Drosophila melanogaster: one gene and its partners. The protein of the gene in region 1 interacts with the protein of each later gene in a pairwise test. Each region holds a gene or a part of one and is shown on either strand. Other genes may lie near its edges.

What was found.
Region 2: the proteins of ck (region 1) and Cam interact in binary tests that used the Drosophila melanogaster proteins (3 or more experiments, as listed by UniProt).
Region 3: the proteins of ck (region 1) and Cad99C interact in binary tests that used the Drosophila melanogaster proteins (3 or more experiments, as listed by UniProt).

Annotation. Positions count from the first base shown.
Region 1 is NT_033779.5:15,054,142-15,061,332, reverse strand, and holds the start of ck (crinkled), read left to right. Parts: upstream 1-3,470; 5' UTR 3,471-3,665; exon of another isoform or gene 3,666-3,828; intron 3,829-7,191. Other genes in the region: TfIIS (RNA polymerase II elongation factor), read left to right, coding at 835-900, 967-1,842; CG33679 (uncharacterized protein), read right to left, coding at 2,446-2,601, 2,665-3,030. UniProt on the Drosophila melanogaster protein: Myosins are actin-based motor molecules with ATPase activity. Unconventional myosins serve in intracellular movements: can function in cells as a single-molecule cargo transporter.
Region 2 is NT_033778.4:12,256,132-12,263,295, forward strand, and holds the start of Cam (calmodulin), read left to right. Parts: upstream 1-3,266; 5' UTR 3,267-3,327; intron 3,328-3,900; exon of another isoform or gene 3,901-3,908; 5' UTR 3,909-4,054; coding exon 4,055-4,057; intron 4,058-4,144; exon of another isoform or gene 4,145-4,682; intron 4,683-7,164. Other genes in the region: Vha36-2 (vacuolar H[+] ATPase 36kD subunit 2), read left to right, coding at 1,224-1,748, 1,824-2,420. UniProt on the Drosophila melanogaster protein: Calmodulin mediates the control of a large number of enzymes, ion channels and other proteins by Ca(2+). Among the enzymes to be stimulated by the calmodulin-Ca(2+) complex are a number of protein kinases and phosphatases.
Region 3 is NT_033777.3:29,838,616-29,845,466, forward strand, and holds the start of Cad99C (cadherin 99C), read left to right. Parts: upstream 1-3,041; 5' UTR 3,042-3,175; intron 3,176-4,109; exon of another isoform or gene 4,110-4,258; intron 4,259-6,851. UniProt on the Drosophila melanogaster protein: Cadherin that functions in epithelial morphogenesis and the intestine epithelial immune response. Essential for female fertility. Regulates the length and organization of apical microvilli in developing follicle cells and salivary glands.

The DNA of each region.
Region 1 (7,191 bases):
ATAACATGGAAACATACAAAATTTGTATAAAAATATTGATTAGATAATAGTTTGGCTTGTTTATGCCACGTGTCCAAAGATATCTTTGATGACGCCTCCTCAGTGTTCTCCTGGTTGTCTGGTATGTGCCTGATTTAATTTGTTCTCAAACTGAAGGTGGATGCTGAGGTCATGTGCGATATCAACATTTCTCGCGTACCAGGGCGCGTTGGTGATTGTTCGCAACGCTTGGTTTTGGAGCCGTTGCCCTCTCACTATGTCCCACCGCCGATTTGACCCGCAGACGTATCCCGCTTGTCCCCAACAACCGCACTTCATCATAATACATCATCTCTAGACCACACTCAAACGATTTATTTATTAAAACTAAGTGATATATAGGGAATTGTTATTGAAGGTAATTAGTATAATTCAAAAACGCCCAACACGCTGTTCTTTCATTGAAATACAGTGGAGCCCTGCTTGCAAGCAGTGCAAGTTTAAAAAACATCGCAATGCTATGTGTGTGTACTCGCTTAAAAGCCAGATGTACATTAAAATACGGTAACACTGTTGACTTCTGAAACCCAAACTACTTCCAGTTGGGAATTGTATTAGCCATGGGAAGGCATTTCTTGACAAGCCACCGCCCGGTAACACTAAAACGCGTTAGGGTGTTCTGTCAACTCGTTCTGCGAATACAGAAACGAAAAAAATAGTAAACAACATTTATTGGAGGGAAAAAAAGAAATAGCCCGGCTTCCGCATAAACAACTGTCGCAGACCCGCAGCACCGATTAAAGCCGACAGCCGACGCCAGTTAACCTAACCTCTGATCAAATTAAGTGGGCCAAAATGAGCGTGGAGGAGGAAGTGTTTCGAATCCAAAAGAAGATGAGCAAGATGGCCAGCGACGGCACAGTAAGTATCGGGATTAGCTAACGTGCCGCGCATCATGTCACAAATATACATATATCCACCGTACAGGGACAGGATCAGGCTCTGGACCTGCTGAAGGCCCTGCAAACGCTTAACATCAATCTCGACATTCTGACCAAAACGCGCATCGGCATGACCGTAAACGAGCTGCGCAAGAGTAGCAAGGACGACGAGGTGATCGCTCTGGCCAAGACGCTGATCAAGAACTGGAAACGATTCCTCGCCAGCCCGGCGCCAACCACACCGAACAACAGCTCCGCTAAGGAGGGCTCCTCCAACAACAGCAGTGCCTCGAAGTCCACCAGTGCCGCCAAGTCGTCGTCGTCAATCTCCGGCAAGGATAAGTCCAGTTCATCCAGCTCATCCAAGGATAAAGAGAAGAAAGGCTCGACATCCTCGTCACAGACCTCGTTTCCCTCCGGCGGCATGACAGATGCGGTCCGCATCAAATGCCGCGAAATGCTGGCCACCGCACTGAAGATTGGTGAAGTGCCCGAAGGATGCGGTGAGCCGGAGGAAATGGCCGCCGAACTGGAGGATGCCATTTACTCCGAGTTCAATAACACGGATATGAAGTACAAGAATCGCATTAGGTCACGCGTGGCCAATCTGAAGGACCCCAAAAATCCTGGATTGCGAGGCAACTTTATGTGCGGCGCCGTCACTGCCAAGCAGCTGGCCAAAATGACGCCGGAGGAGATGGCCAGCGATGAGATGAAGAAGCTGCGCGAGAAGTTCGTCAAGGAGGCCATCAACGATGCCCAGCTGGCCACCGTGCAGGGCACCAAGACCGATCTCCTCAAGTGCGCCAAGTGCAAGAAGCGCAACTGCACCTACAACCAGCTGCAGACTCGTTCCGCCGATGAACCTATGACCACCTTCGTCATGTGCAACGAGTGCGGCAACCGATGGAAGTTCTGCTAACTCCCAAAATTGTTCCAAAATATAAATCAATCCCAAATGAGCACACACCACACATCCTTCATATTCTTAAATGAAACATTGTAAAGACACGACACGCGAGAAAACATTTTGTATCTGCTGCCCAACTGCGGAGGCGTTTACTCTGACCACCTAAACCTTAAACGAGAGAAAAGAAATTTCAATAAACATTAACTATTGATAAAACGGAGACGTCTTGTTGCCGCAATCAGTTTTTTAAAAACGCCGGTGATAACGACCACGCTGCTGATAACTCGCCGATAACACAGCGGGGCGATAAATTGAGCATTGAGCAAAGTAAATATGAATACATTATAAATATAACTCAGAATGATCTAGCAGAGAAGTAAATAAGACGCCATATTGTGTATGTATTCTCGAAGAGTATTAACAACCGATGTAATTAGTCAGTTTTAAAGCAATTTGCATTAACGAACTTTGTATTGCATTAAGTATAGAAGTCGGAACGGGCCAGATCGGACAACTATATCATATAGCGGGCATAGGAATAATTAAAACATTAACGCAAAATAAATATGTGTTCGTTGTGTTAGATCCATTAGGTGTTCTAATGTTTTGTTCATCTTAGTCAACGTCAATTTCAAAGTGGATGTTTATGATGGAAATCCAGTTCACGACACCATCATCCATTTCGAGGGTTAACTTATAGCTACCCTTTGGTAATGGGACCTTGGCAAACATACGATCATCCAAGGTGCAGTTCCTTATGTAAATATCATCCTTAAAATATATATTTTAATATGATTTAATATGATTGTCATATTGGCGAAACTAAATACTTACATTATAGGGACATGTATGATTAATATTGGAAAAGGGCATAAAGGCGGTGTAGAAATAGTAGAAGACTCTGAGACGATTTGGATACCTTAGGACGCGACAGTGTTCCTCGGAAACATTAAATAGAAACGGATGGTATCCGTTTAGCTTCCGGTAAGTGATGAATCTCACGACCATCCTATTTATTGGCAGTTTCAGAAGCTTAACGTGTATGTTGGCTCCGATAATTCCCCTGCCAAGCACTTTTAGTCGGCATTCGGGAAAGACGACGAATGATTTGTCATAGCTTTCGCACTTGAGGTTCGTGAGGCGCACGTATCCATGGGATTCTCCAATGAAAAGTAAGCTGATCCACAAGAGGTACTTCATCAGGGCAAATAGTCTGGATGTAATGACCACTCTACGCGATGGTGGAGTACTGGTTTCCAAAAATATAATTACTGATGGGGCATAATTAGATTTTAATTACTACTTATCGCAGTTCGTATAAATAATTAGGTAATCAACAAACCGCTTCAATGAGCTAATATGACGACATGTTTAATATATTGACATAGAAAAAAGATATTTCTTGAAAAATGCAATAGCTTATGACAGATATTTTGAAATGCGCGCCGAAATTAGGCAGGTCGATAAATTTGGGTAAGTAATGCTTATTTTTATCGATGCTATCGGAAGTCTATCGATCGGACTGCTTACGCGGCAATGTGACCATATAAGCGGTTTTCAAATGAACTGTAATGTTAACTCGTTAGCATACCACGATTAGTAATCCGCGCATTTTTTAGGCCATTCGCAACTGGCCCCACCACCTGGTCACTCTTATTGATCAGTTTATCGGTTGTTATTTTTCGCTTCAAGTCTTGTCTTCTCGGCGAAAAGAAAAACAATAAACAAATCGCACAGCCCCAAAATGATCAGTGGTCTGTAATCCACCTGTTGCTCGGCTTAACTGTGCTGGAAAAGCGGACTTTCGGCGCGCTGCTCTATTCCTGCGACTGCTGGTGCGTGACCTATTTATGTAACCTGTTTTTGAAAAAGAACATCCCGCTTTCGACGGGTCTGGAAAAGTGTTAATTAAACGGTCGTGGCGAGAGCGATTCCAATTAGAATTCGAATTCGGTGACCGAAAAGCGGAGAGTGCAAAATTCTGAGGCGGCAATTAAGGTAGAGAGTGATTGGAAAAAAGAAAAGAAATGAAACGAAACTAAAAGAAAAGAGTGCATTAACCCTGCCAAGCGGTCTGTGTAAATGTGTGTCTGTTTGTGGCTAGAAAAGCCAGTGGGGAAAATGACAAGGGTCACAGCATCGGTTCAGTGTAACATCATCGATTTTATTGCATTTCCAGACGGAGACGTGGCTGCATTGCATTTTTATTGCTTTAGGCGAGTGACCAAATTAAATAGCTACGCTTCAGGTTTCGTTGGCTAGAACGGTACTAACATGCACACTACAAGCGCAGCCCCGCTCTCTCGCACGCACACACGGACAGGTACACCTGCCGAGGAGCTGCAGAGCGAGCGAGAGGGAGAGATGCGTAAAGAGCGGCTCACAGTGCAACACATTCAAGGGTGCTGCTACCGTCTCCCCCTCTGCCACGTACCTTTCCCACCCGCTCTCGACAGTGCGCTCTCTCCCTCTCATTCTCCTTGAGCTTGAACCAGGCTTCCACACTGAGAAATAAACGATGTCAATTTAAAATGATTTGAATAGTCTTTTATGGAATTACGTGCGTAAACCTTAAAACAGTGACTAAGTGTGTTTTATTAATCAGTTGAAAACGTTTTTTTTTATAATCTATCATTATGATTATGAAAAATATACATATATGAAATACTTTTACTGTGTAAATCTAATCTAATCAGAGTGTACTATCATTAATTGTTTATAAATTTCAAACATTCAAGTTAAATATTTGTATATCCCATTTACATAAATTTGCATAAATACAAATCGATCATGAAGCGTCTGCTTTTTCTTGCAGTTCAGCGGTCAAGAGTTCTGAAATTGACAATAACAACAAAAACGCAGGCACACTTGTTTGTCCGGTTTGTTGTTTTTGCTGTTGCACAACGGGACATTTCGTGTGTGGACAATTGGAAAACCCTTTTTCAAATAAACGCTTTTCATTAGCCGGTTTTTGTTTCTTCTCTCCCATCTCAACCTTTTTTTTGCGTTTCCATTTGGGTTGTTGGGCTGTTTTTGTTTTTGTTGTTGCTGGGGGCTTTCGCGCACGCAGCGACTTTCTGTTTGTTTGGTGAAACTTTTTTAAGGTCTTCTCTAAATACATAATAAAAAAAAAATGAACATAATACTTTGCCCATTTTTTATTTTTGTTGTTGTCGCTGGTGAGTCGTTAAATTTTGTAGAAGATTTCAGTTGTTAAACCAGAAGCAAATTGTGTGAACAACAAACGAAGTTTTGCGAAAAAGAATTTTGTTAGCAATGCTAGTAATTATGGAAAAAGTTAAAAAAAAATTCTACAACTAACGGTGTTTTTTAAATTTAAATCATTTACAAGTTCACATTAATAACAAACACTTTATAATTTAAATTTGAAAAGGTCTAAAGGCAACATATAATCAATATTTTTGTAAAATAAGTAATATTATAAATGTTCAAATGAATTGAAAAAGTGCATTTGCTCTTAAATTTAAGAATCGTTCGCATTCCATAGACTTTACTACGGATTTATTATTAGCCATATTATCTTGAGAGCTATAATTCAAGTGACCAATAAAACAATATGGGTTTAACTAAAGTGCTCCAATTAACGTATAAGTAAAGTGAAACCTTATAGGATTATTATTGCATTTTTTGTAAAATAAGACGAATATGAATTTTTCAGATAGGAAATGTTTTTATGCCACAAATTGCTCAAAGATGACAACAACATGATGTCAAGTGTCAAAGTCAAAGTGAACAAAAAGTGGTTGTATTAAACAATTGGTATGAACGCCATACATACTTTTATATGTACATATGTTTATAGATAATATATGGCCGAGTGTCTGTATGTAGTGTAGAGTAGATGGCATAAACCGTAATTGTACGTGGCTGCCACACACGAACTTTCACTAATGACTCTCGATGAACTTTTGGATCACTCACTAAAAACGCACTCTCTTACTTATAGACATATATACATGCAGTACATATACATACATATGGTTACCATATATATGCACTTAGATACGTGCCAATCGTTCGTCACTGAGTCCACTATCACTACCATTCGATGCTAAATCTGCAGAGCCGGAAATTCTTAGACGCTCTTTGCTCGATTCTATAAGTTTTTTAATCGTTTTTGGTCATGCCCAGAGATACAAATGTCTGCCTCACACCTCGATTTACACCTTGTTTGATGTTTCGCTTCTTATCGCTACTTGCACTGCAGGGAAATTCTGATAACAGCAGGTACGGCAATTAGGCAATCGTTTTTAAATAATTCAGTCATGACTGTGCTTAGTCTAAGTGCTCTCTTCAATTTGAAAACAGTTGTGGATTGAGTACCAAAAAAAGATTAAAATACGAATATAGATACGTTTACCTAAAAAGCAATCCTTAAGATACAAATAGAGTTCCCAATAAATGAAACCTTTTCCGCGTTCTACAGTTAAGTACTTGCGGAAAGAGGGGATTTAGATGACAATGAGGGCATTAAACTATTAAATTGGGTGCTGATAACAGGACAACGAGTATTGAGCAATATTACTTAATACATGTATGTATGTCTTAGTTAAATGTTTGAACTCCAGCCGACAATTGAGGTCGCTATATGGTTGTGGTTCGAGTGTGGATCGCGGATAGATGGGTTCCCTATGTGCACTAGACTCGTATTTTGACCGGCAGAGCGTAACCAGACTGGTATGTGTACGAGTATACGTGCCGCCGTGTGCCACTAAATTTGGTTGCTCCGTAGCTGTTGCTGCTTTATTTTTTTTTTTGTCTGGCATGTTGCAATTACCGTGGAGAGGAGAGACGCCTCCCAATGAGTAACTACACTACGGCTGATACCATGCCACACTATACTATACCTGTGCGGAGGCAGCCGTTAGTCCATGTGCTAAATGATGGATGGGGTGTCCAATTGAAAGGCGGCTTCGATGGCAACCGACTGGGAAATGACGCCAGCTTGAAACTCTGATTCATGACTGGTTTCGGAAATTAAGTAGTTCGCTTAAAAAAGCCGATCTACATGTTGATTAGATGAGTTTTTCCGGAATTCTCTAGATTAAATGATTAAACTAAAGAATTATGGTTGTAATCGGACTCTGTAATCAGCGCTCATTTGCTCACTTGTAATCCGGTGCTAAAACTGGTTACTATAATTGCAATGTTTATTTTCTTTAGTTCTAAAGATCATATTTAAAGGTGGAATTTTCACCAACGATAACCTGTCAGTGGCGCAACACATTTCTAATTTCTTTTCGTAAATATCTAATTGAAGATGGTTTAGTTTTCTATCGCCTTAAATCGAAAACATTGTTTAGCTACTGCCAGGCCGTACAAAGTAATGAAAGTAAATTT
Region 2 (7,164 bases), on another chromosome or scaffold:
ATGTTTACCCAACACGCACACACACACACACACACACACATACAGCGATGGAGGGAAAAGCCAAATTTTCATGTCTTGCGGGGCGAACGAAAAATGGCGCATTGCTGTCGTCGCCAAGCGACAACGACTACGACAACGACAACTACAAACGCTCTTTTGGCCCGATGTTTGCTGCATTGTTACTTCATTTTCATTCTCGTTTTCGTTACCTAGCCATCGCTATTGCCACACCATCACCCACCACCCACCGCCCAACGCCCAGCTCACACCGCACCACCAACCCTTGTGGCATGTCTAATTTTCCAGAGGTTAACATACTTAACTTGTTGGCATGCGTTGCAAATGCGCCAAGGCTGCGTTGCACCAAGCGGCGCCACATTGCGACAATTCGCTGCGGCAAAGGAAATCGTACGGCAGCTGGAAAATGGGCAAAATCGCCGTCCAATGGTGTCCAGTGGCCAACTGTCCAATGGGCAATGTGAAATCCCAGTGGAATGGTCAAACGTTCCGCATTGTAATTGCACACACACACGCATTCGCTGGTTTGCCGATTTGTGGACATTATCTTTAGCACAAATAACAAATGTATTATATGTGAATGATTCCATTTTCTAGGGATTAAGCTAATGTAAATTAAAACATCATTTTCGAGAGCTAAATAAAAATGCTGTTTTAAATATCAGGCATAGATAAGGCAACGTTGCGTATGCGTAATTTTCCATAGGCAACTATGCGTATGAGTAATTTAAAATGATTTTGGCGGATCAGGAATTTGTTTGGTATTTTTTTTTTCAATTATAGGGTTAACAATTCATTTAACTGATTGATAAATAGTTTAATTAGTATAATTACAGCCTAAAATAACTATTCATTTCTAATTCTTATTTTGGCAAGCACTAAAATTTCTTATTCATACAAAATATTTATAATATACACCACTGCATTCACTATACAAATTGAAAGTTTTGATAAGCTCGAAAAGAATTCAAGGGAGTAAATTTGTTGACTTTTTGCCGATTGAGTCATAAAATCCCAGCTAATTCATAGCACTCTTCCACAATTTTCATATTTATTCCATAAGCATTTGAAAACCTCTTATAAGCGTGGTTTTAAAAATATACATATGTTTTTATACTCACATCAGTAATTCGTTTGTAACAAAGTCTACAATTCGGCCAAATTCAAACTCTACGTGATCAGAGTCCAATTCCAAAGTCACCGCCATGGCCAAACGCGATATCCTGCCCATCTTTCCATCCCGCGCCAATTCGGTGATCATGAAGCAGCGCGTTTTGGCGGCTAGAAGGGGCGTGGGTCTCCTCAAGCGGAAGCGGGACGCCATCGATATGAAGCTACGCGAATTGCGTCGCATCCGCTTCGACCAGGACATGCACGGCGATGAGGCGATGCGCAATGCCATATTCTCGATGGCAAAGGCCAATCTTCTGGGCGCCGATTTCAAGCCGCAGATGGTAAGCCGCAGCCACGTGGCAACCGTATCGCTACGCCGCACGGAGATCAAAATTGTGGGCGTCAAGCTGAACACCCTGGAGCTGGAGACGAAGGGCGTGGGCGCTTTTCCGCTGGCTGGTCTCAGCTGTGGCGGTATGCAAGTGAGCCGAATCAGGGACTCCTATACGAAGGCACTCAAGGCACTGGTGGAGTTCGCCTCTCTGGAATACCAAGTGCGAATGCTGGAGGCAGCCTCGTTGCAGACCAACATGAGGGTCAATGCTCTGGAGCATGTGGTAATTATAATTAATTCATATGATCCATATGTTATCATGGATAATCTTCAATAAATATCACTTTGTATCCGCAAGGTAATACCCATCCTGCAAAATACCTATAACTATATATGCGGCGAGTTGGAGGAGTTCGAGCGCGAGGATTTCTATCGCCTGAAACGCTCCCAGGCGAAGCAGCTGGAGGCCAAGATGGCCTTCACCGAGCTGATCAAGACCAAGAACATGACCGACGAGGAGCTGGAGACCTACATAAAGCGAAACATAAATCAGACGCGTCCTCCAGCGGCCGACACACCCTTCGATCAGGAGCAGTTCGAGGAGCGTGAGGTGAAGCGGCGCATGCGGGAGGCCCGTCTGTCCCTAAAGCAGCGCCGCGAGCAGGAGAGAAAGGAGGCCATCAAGCGGGGCGAGCCCCCACCGCCCACATCCTTCATCACCACCCACGGAGCCTCGTTGAGTTTCGCTGGTCGCCAGCGGGATCCGCGAGCCAGCAGTGGTGATCTGTACAGCACCAAGCGGATGCTCCTCTCCTCCGGACCGGAAAGGAAGTCCGCCAGTAATGTGACCGAAAGGAAGTCCGATACTCCTCCGCGTAATAGCCAGGAAACTCAGCGCAGATCCAGCCAGATGTCGAAAGATGTCGTAAATGAAGATCCACCCGAAGAAAGTTAGTTAATCGGACTCACAAATCCAAAATCTAAAGTTGTCCAAAAATTCTTAATTATTTTTAATATGGTGTGCAAATAGAAGATTTATTTTAGGTGATCACTTCGAAAAAGTATAGCAATTTCAGTCGAAAATCGAAAAATATATGGAAAAATTTACCGTCATTGTTATTAATAACGTATACGTATGTAATTTCTGTCTGCTGTATAATATACATGTGTATGTGTGTATGTTAATTCCCCATCATATGCAATGGCAAATGCTATATGTTTGCAACAGCTGACTTTACAGTTCGTTTTTTTTTAACATCGAATGTTAGTTTAACATTTACGTTAACATTTATCCGTTAAGAATAAAATTTGCAACATTTTGAAGTATATTTTTGTCAATTAAAATTTGAACTTAAAAATCGAAGAACTGTTTACATAAACATAAATCACAACCGGTAATTAGAATAAACGGACAATAAAAAAGACATTTGTTTATATAGATGTACATATGTGAGTACATACATAGTTGATTCATTTTTTTCTATTACTGCAAGGGCAAACCTATGCATAAGTTTATTTTTGCAGAAGCTAGCTTCCTATTATTTATAACTTTAGTTACCTGTAGTATGTTGATACAATTTTTGTACACACCTATTTTCGCGAAAAGCGCCGGCGCGACCGTTACAACGGCGAAATCAAACTTATTTTCGCTTTACGAAGGTGAGTGGATAAGCAACAGAAACAAACACATGCAGACGCTGCCGCTGCAAAAGCGAACTTACCCGGTTCGTTCTCGCGAGAGCGAGAGCGGTTATTGCTATTGCTGCTGGCAAAATAAAACCGTATATATGGCGACGCAGCGCTATTTTGAACACAAAGTTTTGAGTCGTCGACCGTTGCGGACGGAAATTCAGATTAGGATCGTGAGTTGTCAGAACAAACAGACCAGACATTGCATATAGAGAGCAGTATTGGGCCAACAAAAAAAAAAAAAAAATACAAAAAAAGCGAAAAGAGCCCACACCCAAGCACCAGGAGCTGCGAACGTTTCGCGGAAAAGCCAATTTCTCAGCGCCAGCCAAAAATCAAGAAAACCAACGAGCAAAAAATTAAACAAATATCTTTATAAAAACCGAATTCGAGCAACTCTTATATGTATTAGCTCTCCCCGCCATATATCTACTATATAAACGAGAATTCTGCCGTGTGCGCGCGTGTGTTTGGCATATTTCGCACAATAGATGAAAAAAAAAACGAATGAAAGCCACAAAAAAATAAAGAAGAAACGCAAGGCGAAAATTTGTATTAAATTCGGCTGAAGCAACAACACTAAAGAAATTTCAGAAACTGCCACGGCGAGAAAAAAAAGCGTCGGCGTCGGTGCTTTGGACGGACGCTTTTCTTTCTCTCCAAGCTGGCAGTAGTTTTTCTCCTCAGCCTCTTCCACCTCCAGTTGACCCCCCGAAAGTAATACCCAACAAACCTCTTCTTGCTTCTTTTGCAGTGTGTTAATTTAGTAAAATATAAAGTTAACCGCGCGTTCCGTAATTCCACTCACACACATACCAACACCCAAGCAGCAGCAGTAGCCGCAGCGGATTAAAACTTCGTCACTCTAGCAACAAACAGAAAAAAAAAACACCTACAAAAATGGTAAGTTTATGGGGCTGGAGAACATGTGCATCTTTATTTTCTGTTTACACAACCTGCGGCCATCATTTTCCATTGAAATTTCCACAGTTTTTGCGAAAAATCAAAGTCAGACAGCGACCCCCAGGGCTATTGCCATTAGTGCGAGCGGGAGGAGCGAATCGCTTCCAATTAGACGTTGTTTATATGGTTTTAACGGCTTTTCACACACACACACTCGCTACACACATCCCAGCACACCAAACACCCCGTCGAAAAGCAGCTGTCCCCGGGAAATTCGTTTACATTTTGCACCCCAAAAATATATCGCCTCACGGGTAGAAAAAACCAGTTTTTTCAACAACCCAATATCGTTGATTTAGAAACAAGAAATTGCGAACACCATGCAACCCCTTGAAAATATGGTAGTTTATACCCCTTTCACAATGAAACATAATCAAAATCCATAAAACTGCATTGAGAAAAAGTGAATGCAATCATTTGAAATTAAGTTTATACTTAAACTAGTATATTTAAGCTGCAAGATTTTCATGTTCTTAACCTGACTTAATCAAATGTTCAACTTTGGCCCCTAGGGTCACAGAAAACAAGCAGCACAATTAAATAGCAATGCCAATAGCAAGAATTTACACACATGTCACGTCACTCGTCAAAATTATTATTTATTTTATCAAGGCTGTCGCACACGGAATGTTGACGCGATCGGGTTCGCCCTATAATAATTCCATGACGTTCGGGTAGAAATACCCCTGGAAACCCAATCAGGCGTGGAAAAGTGGAAACTCTTATCAGCATCTCGAGCAACACCTCATTTTCGAAGCCCCCCTGCTTGCCCAACCCACCACCACCATTTGGGATCATAAATCAATGTGATTTTAGCCAATTTGTTGAGCATTTATGCACACACACACTCGCATTCCTACATAGACGCGTTGCCATCGGCACTTTTATCAGCAATTTTTCAAAGATCCCCGCAAATAATAGAAAAGCGCCCTCCATTTTGCTTATCAGTGGAAAATGTGTGAATATATATTGATGATGAACAACAAAGTCGCCGGTCCCGGCATTATTGGCCTCTCCTCTTTGCCCCGCCGTTCGTTGTTCGCTTGTTCTTTGCTTTCTGGTTGTATTTTTTATTTACCGCACACTTGGCCGCAAAAATTGAGGTTAGACACGGCCCCATGGAAATGGTGAAAAAATTCTTTAGAGGCATTTCTCCTGCTCTTGCGCTCAGCTTAACCGTTTCGACGCTCTCTCGCATAACCGTTTCACACACTTTCTCGTCTCTCTCTATGTGCAATTATTTCGTTTGCGTTATCAGTTCCGTTTTGTGCTGCGTCTCTCTCTTTCCGTTTCTTTCAGCATTTCATTTTTTTTTGCGCCTTGCGCTTGTCACTTTTATCGGCGCCTGCCTTTTCTTGTTTTCTTCCATAACCGTTTCATTTGCCGCATTGCGGTTATTTTGCTGTTTCGCCTTCGCCTTGGTTCGTCCGCTTCGGTCGTTCATTCGTTCGGCTCCGCGTATTCGTATTCGTGTGCGTGTGAGTGAGCGTATGGGTGTGTGTGTTGGCGGCTGCCTGTTCCACTTTGCCTTTTCGCGCAAGAATTTTATTGTAACGGCACAGGCGAACGATGGGGGAGGAGGAGCGCTGCAAATGAAGAAAAATTCCTGCTAGACGCCGCCGCTTAACCACATAATCCAATTTTCTTGCCGCCCTCTTTGCGCTTTCTTCTCTCGTTCGTTTGCTTTCCTCTGCGCTTTTTGATAAGAAAGCCCCACGCCCACTGCGATGCCCACACCCGCGCCACACCTTCTTTCAGCCTCATCTGGTGTCGCCTAATTTAATTAGCGATTTTACAGCTCACGCAGAATGCAAACAGCTTTTAATTAAAATATATCGCATCGCTTTCTACGTGGCCAATTTGTTTCAGTGATTCAACCAACGCTGCTAACTTGGCCCAGAAGCAAACATTTGCCAAGGGTTTTACTGACTGATCTTCAAAGTTTGTTGATCTTTAGCTCGGCTAATTATGAGATACGTTTGTCTGTATATCTTATTTGTTTCCGTTGAAAATGAGCCAACATTCATATAAATTTCCATGAGTCACTGTGTTCCTGGGCTGACTTCATCATATGATCATATGGCCTATGATGAATGCCCGATGATATGTGTGTGTGTCATGTTAATAATGGCAAATGACTGGCTTATGGCTCAGTTAGCACAGTTGTTTGGATCCCGGTGCGAATGCACTTAAATTGTACCCAAAAACCAAGCTCTCAATCTAACCGTCATTCATAAAACCAAACTAAACTCCATGAAACCGGTTGAGACCGGCAAAAAAAAAAAAGCGTCGGCTATACAACGGTAAACCCGGCAAACTTGGCTTTAACATAAAGCCGCATAATTTCAGCCAAGACCTGTTTTAATGTTGTATTTAACTGTCAAACTCATTGGAAGAAATAGTTTTATTCAGCAGAACTCGTTTGTGAATTTATAAATGATTCAAGCCCAAGTGTATTAAAATTATTGTTATCAAAATGTATTCATAAGTATGAATAATATTTGATATCATATTATTTGCAAGTGAAAAGTGATGATCTTGAACTAACTACTATACAATGACCCATCCAATGAGTCACTACCTTAAAAAATGACGGACAAATCCCGATAAATATACGCACAGCTTGAGTCCTGATCCCCCAGGCATACATTTTCGGAAGGCACTGTATTTGCCTTGGATGTGGAAGCTTCCTCGGGACGTCGTGGGCGTCTGATTGTGCATACAAATGGATTACCAATTAGGCATTAGCCAGCCCCCCACTCGATTAACGACCTCGCCCGATTGACTGCCATTAATGGATATCATCGGTGGGTGGGGTTTTGCTCATGTTGTTGATTGCAAATGTCGCCATTTGAAGACAGGAGGGCTTCAATTTGCTTTTCAACAGATTGGGGATCTGCATTTCGATGGGTGTTTCTCATTCGGTTTCTGTTTCTGGCTTAGTCATGCTTGCCAATGACATAACCCAGTTGAAAAGCGTTTTATCTGCCCCAGAGTACGCCAAGATAAGCTGGGCAAATTCAATTGAACGCCAACGCGACAAAAAG
Region 3 (6,851 bases), on another chromosome or scaffold:
AATGGAGTGGAGTGTGGATCGCTGGAGCCTGGGAAGTGGAAGTGGCGGCGTTATTCGTTCTATACTCTACTCGCTTTGTCCCGAAGTGAGCATGCGATGGTACTCATAATCTGCATTCGGAATCTAATTCAATTAAGCAATGTTAATGGCTTGGCTGCGGGACGGGTACAGCTGCGGTCAGGAAGCTAGCAACTCGGGTATGTGCACTGAAAACAAGTAGTTACATTAAAAACCTCATAAATGGATAGTGTTAAGTATTTGGTACAAGAAATATGAAATAACTACTGAGTAAATGGTTAATCGTATCACATCAAAAGTTGTCCCAAAAAGTTGTTTTCATTAAGAAGATATCTTTTTCTGTTTATATGAAGAGTTATGAATCAATCAATCCATTATGAGTCATATTTTCTTTCCCTGCAAATTCTTACTTATGTGGGAAGCCACATAACGTGAGCATCCAGGAGATGTACTGCCCGTTCTCGCCGAGACCGGATTGAATTTCCACCCTATAGATCCATAGATCCGCCATCCGTTTCGAACTTTTCTGCTGACCGCAACTGTGCACACACACTCGCCCTGCCATCTGTTTATATATGTATATATTGTATATATGTTCTGGCCTGGCCGAAACTGATCTGGGCAAAGTGATTGTTCGGTCCGGCAGCTAGGCATCTTTTGGTTATTTGGTGCGCATTGGTCCCAAATCGAATTGCTGCGACTCTGGGCTGCAGCTCGGAACTGCTGGCCAGGAATAGGAATGCGGCATGCAGTGTGGAGAGTGGAGTACTTGTGGAGCAATTAAGCGGACCAGGAATGATTTACCCGGCCAGGCAAAAGACAAAACGAGAGCATGTGAGGGGCAGAACAATGCAGTTTGGGACTGGGACTTGGCTTTCATAAAAGAAATTGGCGGCAATAAAAGAAATTATAAATTATAATTGCAATCATAAGACTGAGCTGCTTACGGGCAGAAGTGGAGCTCTGCCAAAGTGAAGTAATTTGAAACCAGGCGGTTTATTATTTGCCTTTATTAGTTCATTCGCTTTTTGCGCTGATAACGTAATATTTTTTAAAGCCAGCAGGTTGCATGTTTTTTTACTCGTTCACTGACTTGTTGCGCTTTTCCCACTTAACTTTTCTTCAAAGAAGTTAAGCCAGGAGCCAATAAAATCTAGTCTGCAACTGTCTGTTGGTAATATGGCTGAAATAAAGCATTTTCGAAACGATATTTGCTATGCACCACAATTTATTTTGCCTATGCTGCACCTGTCGTTTGTGCAATCGAAAATTCTCAGGAAGGCAAAAATGATTTTAAACTGGCTCAACCAGCAATTCGAGCTTTTGCGCATGGTCAATGCGAAACCTTACAGTTTTGGCTGACACATTTCGCTTGATACCTTCATATCCGGTACTCATGGAGCATATCAGCATATAGCTTGCTACTACCAAAAACATTTTGCAGAATCACAAGCAAATCTGTCTTGGCTACAACTCCAGTAGCAGCGTGTAACTTTGGGTCACTGAACTACACTTTTGTTAAATGTCAGCATAAATGGCTAAAATGAAATACACCTTACAAGCTCCTCCTAACCAACTTGTTCATAATCCAAAAACTTCCTGTTAGAGTAGCGAATTCAAACAGTTGGCACTTTGTTTTTTCGAACTTGACATATGTAAGCCGATCGGCAAATTATCGCGAAAATGGGCCATTCGAATCGTAAAAGTGATGACCAAGCCGGAAGAGCACAGACATTATGGTAATCCAAGAACCCCCAATAAATGTAGCAAGAAACTGCCTCTTTATAATAACGAAAGAAGCTAAGCCTTAATTAAATCCCAACCCAGTGGGATGCGGATTTGGCCAGGTGAGGAGCTAACAGCCAACTGGCTTGTTAGCAAACAGTAAAACGAGCTAATGACGTACATCTGCTGAAAACCCTTGCACTTTCTCCTCCAGCCAGTTGTGATGAAGATGGCAGACTCCCATGCGTTTAGCACCATGAAGATACTCCGCTAATAGCCATTTAGCACATGGCTTAATCTTACCGTACAGTTTGTGTGCCATATGAATATGCTATGTTTGCTATAATTAGGTGCTTTGACATTTCGAGAAACAAGATCTGCGCAAATTATCATATTTGGCTGATCCCATCGATCTGAGCAGCTTTCAATGCCAATATAACGATATTGGCTCAATTGTTCTGGCAGCATCCGGCTGGAAATGGAAATGGTGGTATTCGATGGTGGTGTTCGATGGAAACACCTACCCATGATGGCAATGCCAATTTCGCGGATTGCCAGCCAGCCGGGTGCAACTGTCTCATTGTCCCAGTACAATGGCAACGGAATATGCATATGCGACGACTCCCTGCCCGCCTGACAGGTACAAAAATGCTGTCTGCCCCTTTGGTGAACTTCATTCATGCCCCGGATCGCAGCTCGGATTGCATTGCATTGCAGTGGATTGCAGTGGATTGCAGTGGAGTGGAGTGAGCGGCCAAAATCGCGGCAACATCGACTAAAACATTTTAATAAAAACTTACACAGCAACGGCTGCAGTGCAGCTGAAACAGAAAAGCAAACACAAAGCGAGCGACAAGCCGAGCCGAAGCCCCAAAACTGGTTCCTGGCCTGGCTGGCTAACTCTAAGCCCGATCCACGGCTCCAACTCCTATGAAAATGCAACATGGTGGTCTCTTACATATTTACCTTTGACTTAACAGACGCTGTTAGCCGCTCGAGATTCTCTGTCCGCGCAGCATACACATATACATATGTACATAGCTGTGTATGTACATGCACCTGCAGATCGTGGATCGCAGTACCTGTGCTCCACAGCCGAAGCCTTTCGCATGTGTGTGTGTGTGTGTGTGTGTGTGTTTGAGTATGGTGTGGTATCCATCAGCTGGCAAACGAGTAACCCCCGAAAAACCAGTTTTACCGCAAAGCGAGCGAATGCCAGCTCAATTCCAATACGTTCCACCTTGGATCGGGTAGCGCCCACTTGTTGCCGCTGCTGCGCGAGACAGGTAAAGCGAAACAGTACCGATCCAACCGCCGAGCCGACACCACGTACCACGTACTTTCGCGCAGTGTAGCACGACGAGTATGAGCTTGTGCCCCAACGCAGCGCTATTGCTATAAGGTGGCTGGCGCGATACCGGTTTTCGAGCTGGTATGAATATGCCCAAGAGCTAATTTTTTAAGAGTTATCTCTCAAGAAAATGTGTAAAGTTCAGAATGGTCCGTTTGTGGCGACGTGTGATGTGTGGATGTGTGAGGTGTGTCCGGTGGATCCAAGGCAACCTAAAGCTGTAGCCATAGAAGCCTGAAAAGGGCATACCACGCAGATATCTCGAAATAGCGCTCCGTTTAAATAACAAAGAAGCCCCGAGAGGCAAACAAAGCCTTCACGCCATCATTAAATCTAAAAATCATACCTTTGTACACACCACTTTAACCCCCGAGAGCAAGACTTTCTCTTGCCAATTTTTCAGTTTTTTTGTTTACCCAACACAACTCACAGTGGAGTGAAAACAGAAAACAAACGAAACCATCATCGTTTTGCCGAATATCAAAGGATAGAACACTAATGTGGAATGTGAACGTGATCGCCGTATTAAGCAAATCGCATTTATCGACCGGGATTTCTGCGGCATTTGCCAAGAACCAAGAAACAAGCAATAAAACAGCCAAAAAAAACAAAAAAAAAACGGCAAATGAGGTCACGTATGTCGAGATTTGTGTAAGAAACTTACACAGTCGTGTTCACTGTACAGGCATACGTAGATAGTCATCGACTTGCCATGCTACTTTTACTACATGCTACCAAACTCCCACGCGCCGCTTTGTTCGCCAGCTTTTCGCGAAACATTATGGCTTATAATTAATCCAAGAGGGCAACCTCCAAACAGTAATTAAAATTCACTTCAGTGCGGCAAAACTCACTTCCAAGCCGGTGATCCGGTGATCATCAACTTCGAAATGATCAACTTCGGATTCAATATGAATTTTATGACAGAGAAATACATAAAATAAGTATTACAACACCTTCAAATTTGTGTCGCGAGTGTTTTTAATCGAGTTTAACCCTGTTTTTTAATGCGCAGATACAACATCTATTGAATAATATAGTAAATCGAAATGTAATTGAGGACCAAGAATAACCTTTGTTAACGGCGTGTGACTCCATTTTTCACGTTGGATACTCAGCTGAAATACTTTGAGCTGCTTTAATATTTAATCTTTAGACCAAACGGTAAGTGCGGAGTATTATTAGTATTATTATTATTAAATTATTCAGCATCCAAAGGCGGGGAGAAGCAAAATGATGAAATAATGTTCTTTTCTCCGGGCGGCGGAGATTAATCTTCATTTGGCTAAATGGCTAGAAGCCATTTATAAAGCAGAAAACATAATCACCTAACCGTTTTTTCTTCAGCGGAAAGTCAGGTCGATTAATTTTATTGTCACCCAAGAATTTGCAGTTCAATGTCTTTGGCCATCATCTAAATTCAAAGATTTGTTTTTAATTATTCTAAACTCAACTTATTTTGGCCAATTAAGACAATCATAATGGTAGAATGTTTATGTTACTCAGCAGTTGCTTAAGTTTCGTTAGACGTGTTCTCGATAAAAAGGCGAATCATTAAAATTAATCATCAGGAAAAATGATTCTCAGCAAATTGGCTCTAAGATACTTGTCGAGTTCATTAGAACGATTAGAATGTTAAAGCACTTTGAGTCATTAAACTCGACAAATGGCCATTTTGAAGACGATCATATATTTACTCCCACAGGAGTCATAAATATATGGACAGCCAAAATGAATGGCATAGATTGAGATACTTTATATGCTGATAGAATTCGATATATATTATGAAACATCTCACGGATCCGTGAGGAGAAATACTTTGTATGGCCAAGAGCGCGTCCTCTGTCCAATAAAATTAAAATACAATAAAACACTCAGCGAATTAGCATAACAATCGCAGTTGGAGCTGACAGAACGATGGTGTATACATGAATGTATGTATCCAGGTGATCCAAGTGATCCGAGTGATCATCCAGGGGAGCCGAGTGGCCAGGTGGACCAGGGTATGCCGCCATTCGGTGCCCAAATGCTGGCGTTCCTTTCTTGTTTATTTAAGATTTGTGTGGCAACCATCGTTCGCATTCCAGCAGATTTGAGATTTAAGTTCGCTACGTATTGTACCACATTCAAAACTAGAAAATGTTGGCAAAAACAGCATCAATAAGCAACAGGTTTGCCGCATATCGAATCTGCACCCAGCAGCACACAACACACACAACACACACAACACACACAACACACACAGTACACAGGCATTCAAAGCGATACCTCGGCTTTCGTTTATTTTGCAAACCAGTTTGGCACATTCGGCTTTTTCTATAAGTTTCCGGTTGAACATAATCAGCAACTGACTTTCTGTGGTGGCCACCGCCGAACTCCTCCTCTGGCTGCTCCTGCTCCTCCTGCTCCTTCTCCGATCTCCTCCAGCTTCGCGCCTTTGTTTATGCGGGGGAAATGGAAAATGGCATTTTGTGTACCGTCCAGTGAAAGCGGAGGACTTGCAGCGCTTTTCGCGATTTTCCCGATTTTCTCGATTTCCTCGCAAATGGAAGCAGGAACGGCACGACGGAGCATTTAAGCCCCCATATCAATACCATGTGATATCTCGCACTTAAGTTACGCAATGGGCGATCGGGGCTTTTATGATTTCGGAGATAATTTCAGCAGCAGTTGCGTTTGCAGACAAGTTTGATTCCACTCGCGATTGCAGCACACTTTGGCGAAATTAAATAAATCGTTGGGAAATCATGGGTATTTTGATTGGTTTATTTGGCTAATTGCGTAAATCGAATTGCAATTGGCCATCGAAGACAATAGTTGTCAGTGGCGGCTAAGGATAAGAGATCCATCAGCTTGGATTTTAATTGTCAGCCAATAGTTGAAATTCAATAATTCGCTTTGTTCATTAGAGCGCGCACTTTATTCCCCTATTTTATGAGTTTCGGTTAACCAGCACAACGGAACCCGGCTGCTCTGGACAGTGCTATCTATATCCAATGGATGCGATCGAGGAGGGAGCGCGAAAACCAGAAGATTAACTCCGATCCGTTTCATTAAACAAACGATCCGAGTAACGGATACGATGCAAGTGGCTCCTGGTGCCAACGAGTCTTCAATGGAGATCGCAGATGGAGCAGAAAGTCAGAAAGCTAGAAAGCCAACGGATGTGCAGAAACCTAAGCCGCAGCATGGGATGGCCAACTCCCAGCACCCAGCTCCCAACTCCCAAGCTCTTGGTTCTAACTGTATGCCAGCCGTAGCCGCAAAAGTTGATCGGCCAGTTGGCGAGCTGGCCATTTAGGCGCTCGATGAGATGAGGTGGGCAAAATGGGCAAAATAAGTGAAATGGGAGAAAGACGATAGAAATGGGAAGAATGGTAAAAATGGGCAGAATGTGCACCTGATCGCTGGGTACTCCGCGGGCTGGCTTGCCACTTTATTAGCCAATTTATGATGCCACCGTTATGAACTTCTCACTGTCAATATTGCCCCAGCCAAGTAGCTAGATCGGTTCGAACGGAACTGCTGAAGCTGTTTTCAATTTGGCCAGCAGTTTCGACACCAAGTTGGTATTGATTGGAGCTGCGGATCGGGGCATCTTGGATTTCCACAAGTCCATATACACACAACGTGCGCGGACAACGCCAAGTTGGCTAAATTGTTTATTGCATATTGATATCACACCATTTAAGGCAAGAGCAGCCGTCTTTGCATACAAAAGCAACCACAGTCTGGAGCTCCACTCGGCGGCGCTCTC